2 linked regions of the Canis lupus familiaris genome follow. The protein of the gene in region 2 purifies or fractionates together with the protein of the main gene of each other region. This does not show direct contact. Links are inferred from orthologs where the notes say so. Each region holds a gene or a part of one and is shown on either strand. Other genes may lie near its edges.

Region 1 (3,723 bases), on a different chromosome or scaffold from region 2:
AGCAAATCTTGTTATATATAATCTACCACAATAAAAAGAAAATTGGGCTGAGGGGACAGAGCAAAGAACAAACATAACATGTAAACGCAAAGGACAATGTCAGGATGCTTGCCTAGTGAGTTGGGGGGGCACCCCAGTTGTATCTGGAAGGCCATCTCTCTGATAAGAATCACAGCCTAATTAAATATAGCCTAATTAAAAACACACCAAAATTGTAAAAGTGGTGAACTATGGAAATTCAGATTACATTTGATTTTCATTTTGTTTTAGGATTTTTGGTTTTTTGAATTATCTACCATTAACAATCTGAAAACTAGCGGGCACCTGGGTGGCTCAATTGGTTCAGCATCTGCCTTTGGCTCAGGGCGTGATCTCAGGGTCCCCGGATTGAGCCCCGTGTGGGGCTCCCAGCTCAGTGGGGAGTCTGCTTCTCCGTCTCCCTCTGTCCCTCACCCTTGCTTGCCCCCCCCCATATCTCACTCAGTAAATAAATAAATAAATAAATCTTTAAAAACAAAAACCTGAACCATATATTTATTTAGCCCAAGTAATCCAGGCTTGCTGCCCTCCAGGTGGGTGTAGACAGGTGGTCATAGTGCTGCTGGGGTAGAGCCCCTTAGAAACGGGCTGTGGACAGCGAGGCTAGAGACCTGGTCCCAGCAATGCACGCACTGATTTCAGGGAACACATGGACTCCAGACACCCACCAGTGAACCATGGACCCCAGGCTAAGAACCTGTGACTTAGACGACATCTAAGGCCCCAGGAAGGGATGCTGTCTGGCAGAGAACACGTGCTGGGATCAGCACAGATGGAGGACAGAGCCCAAGGGGTGCTGATGGCAAAGCCACCAGCTGTGAGTGCAGAGACAAGCCTTGACGCCCGCAGGAGGGAGTGGATGGAGGCAGGTCCCCAAGCTCCATCTGTCCTGCCCCCTCCACACTGCTGTCATGTGGACTGCCCCTCAGTGAGCCCACAGATGAGGCCAAGTCCCACAGCCTGACCCAGCAATCTTGTCTCTACATAGCCCCAAACTCACTGGGCTGTGGCTCATCCCAAATGTGTCTTTTCCTCTGTTGCCTTGCTTCTGGCCATTCCCTTCTGCATAATCCCCAGCACATCCATCAGGGCCTCCTCTTTCCTTCCCAGCTGTCTTATAGTGATTCGCTGAGGAAAGAACACCAGAGTCAGAGGCCCCTCCATACATTCCATAGCCCAGGAGGAATAAGAGGTCCCTTCCCACATTGGCCCTGAAGCTCTGGGCTTGTTCCCACGGTACAAGTCCAGCAGGCGGGGTCTCTGCTGGTCAGCTGACCAAGCCAGGCCAGAAAGTCCCCGGAAGTCAGGTCTTCCTGGGTGGACTCTCCCTACCAGTGAAACCTGTAGAATAGACACCTCGAGGTTAATCTGGAGGCGTGGACTGTTCCCAGTGCATATGCACCATACTAACGAGCCACAGTGCGTAGCTCTCTCTATGAAATCCAGCAAAGGATGCTGAAAGTTTCGGGGCCTTGGCTTTCCGAGGAGTATGCATCAGAACATTACAGATTAGCGCTCCCTGCAGACTCATAGGGTCACTCATGAGAGTATGGAATCAAATCTATGCTACTGCCTCCCCCACAGGGACACCACACCAGCCCACAGTTAAGTCCACCTCTGACCCAGGCCTACAAAGGGGTGCGTCTGGACACCAAATGTGCCATCAGGTTGGAAAGGCCTCACGGCAGCCCCACACAGGCCTGGACATCATGCTGCTGCTGGCAGGCCACCCCACCTCACTGTTATCTGACAAGAGGGGCAGGGACATGGTGGGACCTTGAACTCTGGTTCAATCCAACCGGCCTTCTGAGGGATGGGCCAGGTGTTTAGCCTATTATGAGCTCAAAGTACTAGCTACTGTGTCACCAAAGCTCCCCAAAGCAGGAAGGCCAGCAGGTAGCTGGAGAGTGCCCATGACTCGGCTGCCCTGCCAGCAAATCCAAGGCTCCCTGCAGGCCTCGGGCAGGGACAGTTCACCTGTCACCAGCCTGACAGTACCTCTACCCCCGAGGGACTGCTGTCACTGCCACTGGGCCTAAGACCCTCTGAATGTGGACAGTCGTCACCTTAAGAATTTCACCAACTAAACCAATGACCTTGAGACTAATTTTCCTCCTCTGTGAAGGTACTGGGTTGTCGTGTCCAGCTTTCACGACTAGTTAGACTATGGAGGCAGAAACTAATTGTAATTAATGGCTGAGGTTTTATTTCGTCAGGATTTTTTCAAAAATTACAGTTGGTGTGTGTCACCATGTTTCCGGAGAGAAAAAGCGTTTTAGCAGGGAGGCAAGGCCAGGCGGTGATGTCAGAACAGGGGCTGCCACCCCAGCAGGGCCCGCAAGGCCCGCCCGCGCCCCGGGACTCAGCCACGACCTTCGGGCCCCTCGGCTGCGCCCCGCGGGCCAGCCCAGCGCCCGCCCCCACCGAGCCAGTGGGAAGCAGCTGCGGGGGTGGGGGGGTGGGGGGGCACTCCCAGGCTCCGGGGCCATGCACGTCCTCCCCACCTCCCCGCCAACCCCGACCTGGGCCCCCACCGGGAGGCCCGCGGCCCCCCCCTCCCCTGCCCTGCCCTGCCCAGCTGCGCCCGCCCAAGGTCGGCAGGAGGGCCTGGGAGGGCCGCTGGCCCGGCAGGCGGGGGACGCGGAAGGCCGCGGAAGGCCGCGGGCGCTCGCACCTGCACCGGAGCCCCCTCCCCGCGGCCGCGGCCCCCTCTCCCCCTCTCCGGCGGGCCCGAGCGCCGCACTCACCCGGGCGACGCCATCAGCGCAGCGAGGTCTCGGCGCTGCCGCCGCCTCCGCTTCCTCCACCCGAGCGCCTCCGCCGGGGAGGGGCCTCACGCCGGCCACGGCCGCCCGCCCGGGCCGCTCTGGGCTGCGGGGGCGCGGGGAGGGGGCCCGCGGCGGTGGGGGGGGGGGCAGGGGCGCGGGGAGGGGGCCGCGCTCGGGACGGGGACGGGGCCGGCGGGGAGGGGGCCTGGGGCTTGGGAAGGGGGCCCGGGGGTGCTGGGGGGTGCCGTGCTCGGGGAAGGGGCCGGGGGCGCAGGGAAGGGGGCGGGGAGGGGGCCGGGGGCTCTGGGAGGGGGAGCTCTAGGAGGGACCCGGGGCGGCGGGACGGGAGGCAAGGGCCCTCTGGGAGGGGGCTCGGGGCAGCAGGGGGTGGGAGGTGGGGGGCGGGGGCCTCAGATAGCAGGGGGTCATGGGAGGGTCCTGCAGTCGCCCCCAAAGGCCGAAGTTGGTGGTGGGGGTAGGCAGCACAGACTTGGCACCCAGACCAACTGGGTGCAGCTTTGACCCGCCCACCGCCCACCTGCCCTGGTGCCAGCAGGCCAGGATTCCTGGAGGGGGAAAGACGGGGCCAAACCTGCCGAAAATCTGCCCCGGGGCCACGAAGCAACTGCCGGACCAGGTGAGGTGGACACCTCCCGACCACAGGATTGGATTTCCTCCGTAAAAGCCTTTTCCTTCACCCAGGAGAGCAAGGTGCTGTTACGACTATTAGCAAGCAGTAACCTATTAATTGCTGTGCTTTTTTTTTTAAAGATTTTATTTATTTATTCATGAGAGACACAGAGAGAGAGAGGGAGGCAGAGGCACAGGCAGAGGCACAGGCAGAGGAAGAAGCAGGCTCCATGCAGGGAGCCCGACGTGGGACTCGACCGGGTCTCCAGGATCAGGCCCTGGGCTG
Region 2 (3,647 bases):
GTCCCACATCAGGATTCCTGCCTGGAACCTACTTCTCCTCTGCATGTGTCTCTCTCTGCCTCTCTCTGTGTCTTCCATGAATGAATGAATGAATGAATGAATGAATGAATGAATGAATAAATAAAATAGAAAGAAAAGAAAAGAGAAAAGAAAAGAAAAAAAAGAAAAGAAAAGAGAAGAGAAAGGAGCTATCTGGAAAGATAACTCCTTTTTGGGGAAAGAAGAGGGGCCACACACAGAGTTTAATCACCAACGGCCAATAATTTAATCAACTGTGCTTAAGTCATGAAGCCTGTAGGGCTTCCAGGCTGGTAGGGTCCCCAAACTCCAAAAGGACAAACTCCTGTGCTTGGGACCTTCCAGACCTCACCCTACACATCTCTTCCATTTGGCTGTTTCCAAGTTATATCCTTTTTCTAAGTAAAGGCTAACTAAAATCTAGTAAATAAAATGTTTTCCTGAGTCCTGTGAGCAATTCTAGCAAATTAATCGAACAAGAAGAAAGGGTCATGGAAGCCACCAATTTATACCCAGTCTGTAACACAGATGACTTTCAATTAGCATCTGAAGGGGAGATAGTATCATAGAACTGAGGCCTTTACTTACGGGATGTAACTTTATCTCCAGGTAGTAATAGTGCCATAATTGAGTAACTAAGTTAAACTGTATGACACCCACCTTGTGTCTGAAAACTGCTCGGTGTGGGAAAAATTCACAAACATTTGCCAGTCAGTGGTGCCAGCAGTGAAGCATTCTGTGAATAGTGTTGAGAATATAGAGGAGATACGTGGGGAGTGTTTTTCCTCTTACATTATAGTATACAAAGAATATAACTTTACAAAGCTTATTAATCTCTTACACTTCTATTCTTCTCTGATAAAAGTGTCAAATATCTTTGTTATTAGGATTTTTCCAATAAAATGTCATTAGTGTGCACAGGGTAGAAAAGGAAGACACAAAAGTTCCTAGATGTCTGCTTATGATCAGATAATTTAATAGTCCCCCACACGCTGAGTTTTTTCTTCTTATATGAAGATGACGTATCTTTAATAGGAGATAATTATTTTCTAATTGACAGTTAAAAACCACATAGCAGGAAAACATGGTAAAGCATCACTTTACAAATACCTAAATATTTTAAACTATCACTTACCATACAAGGAATATTCAGCTTCCTGACCTGTGTCACTCTCACTGGAGGTGGATGTGAGGCTAGTAGTTAAAGTATTACTTAAGGACTGACCAACTGATAGGACTGTTGTTGCTGTGGCCACATTGCTGCTGCTAGTCACACTGGATGTTGACATTGTCACTGTTGATGTAGTACCAGGTGTAGTCAAATTGGGGAAACTCTGAGCACCCATAAGAGGAGAAGCTAAAGATAAAAATGAAGCAAATCAGGATGACTGATGGTGGGATCGTATAAACCTAAGAAAAACTAGGTTTTGTATTTAGAGTAAAAGAATGAGATTATCAAACACTAATTATTAAAAGGCTAAAAAGCAACAACTTTGGGAACCCAACTGAAATCCAACTAAGAATCCTTGTTTTTATAGCACTGTTATTTTTTCAAAAAATTAAGTCCTGCTTTTTTAAAAAGTGAAACAGGCAATGAACTAATTCCCAATGATATTTTCCAAAGGAATTACCCATTAGCTTAAGTGAGAATTAAATACCTTCCAGAAGCTAATATCAATTTAGGACCTAAGGAAAAGTTAAACCAGTGTGATGCTCTGATTTCAGTTGACTATGACATATTTAATAGTTATCTATTTCCTCATGCAGCTGAACTTAACAATTTATCATAGAAGAGTGGAAAATAGAAGTGTGTTACTGTTTTATCCTTTCCAATTAAGAGGTTCTTTATCATACCTGATTTGAATTCTTAAGAGATCATGATTCTATAGAACTTAATTTCATATTCCTGAAGTGCTAAATCTGACGTAGTTGTATGTAACATGGTTAATGATCTAGTTAAAGACTGCAGCCAGAACCCACTGAACAAGAAACCCTACTTTGCATCCCTCCGAGTGGAAAAACGATTGGGTTCCATAAGGAAAAGCTCACTTACTTGCTGTGCTCATCACATTCCTCCCCAAAGTATTAGTGTTGTTATCACTGCTGCTTCGGCTTAGATTCATGTTGTTCGTGGCATTAGTCCGTGCTATGTTTGCCACTCTCCTTACAAAACTCTCCAAGCTAGATGTTTCTCTTGAGGACAGATTAGGTACACTTGCACTAGAGCTCATAGGGGCCCCAGCAGCCAGCAAAGAACTCACTGACAGTCTGTTACTTGCTGAAGAGCTAAGGGGCCGTTGTGAAGCTGCTTCTTTATTAGTTAACTCAGACACTGAACTAACATCAGGAGAACTAACACTAACAATTCCCATGGATATTGCACTAGATTCCCCAGGAGTGCGAACAGAACTATCGGGGCCTAACTTTCTTTCAGCATTTTCACTTCCCGTTTCCGCTGTTAAGGTGCTGGTGCTTGCACTGGAAGATGACCCTACTTCTGTTTGAGGGACGTTTTCAGCAGATGAAAGAACAACAATTGGTTCATGGACATCAGCTCCTGAAACTATACTGTGTTCCATTACAATTTCTGATCTCCGTTCCGTTTTGGTCGAACCCAAGCTGATGTCGCTGCTACTGGCCACGCTACACACAGAACTGCTGCTTCCTTTTCTACTTGAGGAGCCTGCAGCAGCAGATGTCTTGTCGGGACAGTTGTTTTTCACCAAGCTGCTCCATGATTGCGTTGTGCCTGAAACAGTGGATGAAACAGGTTTGGGTGATGCCACTGTATCAGGGTCGTACCCTGGTGCAAGCTTGAGGTCAAATTTTCCTTCTGCGCCCATACGGTAAGAGTTTGAGCCACCAGCATCCCAGGTGACATCAATCCAGCCTGGAAAGGGACAGGAGTTTGTGAGACCCGGCAGAAAGCAGATAGGAGCGTGTCAGACAGTAGCTCCACAATATGGGATCAGCTTTTCATCAGTGCTGTACTTCTCTGAATTTCTATAGTCATTAAAGGTCTGCCAACTAAAATTAAATTCTTCCTTTTATTTCTCTTATTTCTGAACTGCTTGCTCTGCTGATATTTGAAAACAATGTAAGGGTCGGTCATGTTTACATCTATCGGGGTATCTTTTGAGGGGAAAAACTATAAAAAGATTGATACAAATGGTGGAATACTACTTCAATTTATCGATGAAATCTAAATAAAAGGTTTTTATAATTGCTAAATATGATTATGGGGTCAAATGCTCTTTTTAGAAAAAAGTTCTGATTTATCATTAATTTTTAAGTTTGGGCTAAATTCTAGTAATTGACAAAATATTCATGTATCACTGTACAAATTTTAGGTCACCAGCTCAAATAACACTAAGTTAGCATTTCGGTTGTGTTCTCAAAGTTCAGTGGTTACTTGGTTTTCTTATGATTAAGTTTACTATATTTGAATAAGCACAGAAAATTCTAAAAACAAAAATTTTAAAATACTAAGCTCTTTTATTAGAACCTATAAGCTAAAGCTAATAATGTGCAAAGAACTAATGAACATGATATTCAATGTATATTTACTTGTACTTGTAAAACAATGCTTGCTCTTTTTAAAAAACAATAATTACCTTCCAAAAGCAGTA

The links. The genes of interacting proteins can lie anywhere in the genome.
Region 1: the proteins of HECTD1 (region 2) and up-regulator of cell proliferation purify together in Homo sapiens (affinity purification with mass spectrometry; 4 studies listed by BioGRID and IntAct, with this or other methods). This does not show direct contact. The link is inferred for Canis lupus familiaris from reciprocal best matches to the Homo sapiens genes HECTD1 and URGCP.

What each region holds. Positions count from the first base shown.
Region 1 is NC_049237.1:14,516,321-14,520,043, reverse strand, and holds the start of up-regulator of cell proliferation, read right to left. Parts: upstream 2,917-3,723; 5' UTR 2,801-2,916; coding exon 2,787-2,800; intron 1,168-2,786; exon of another isoform or gene 1,040-1,167; intron 1-1,039. UniProt on the Homo sapiens protein: May be involved in cell cycle progression through the regulation of cyclin D1 expression. May participate in the development of hepatocellular carcinoma (HCC) by promoting hepatocellular growth and survival.
Region 2 is NC_049229.1:10,568,955-10,572,601, forward strand, and holds part of HECTD1 (E3 ubiquitin-protein ligase HECTD1), read right to left. Parts: intron 2,909-3,647; coding exon 2,072-2,908; intron 1,376-2,071; coding exon 1,154-1,375; intron 1-1,153. UniProt on the Homo sapiens protein: E3 ubiquitin-protein ligase which accepts ubiquitin from an E2 ubiquitin-conjugating enzyme in the form of a thioester and then directly transfers the ubiquitin to targeted substrates.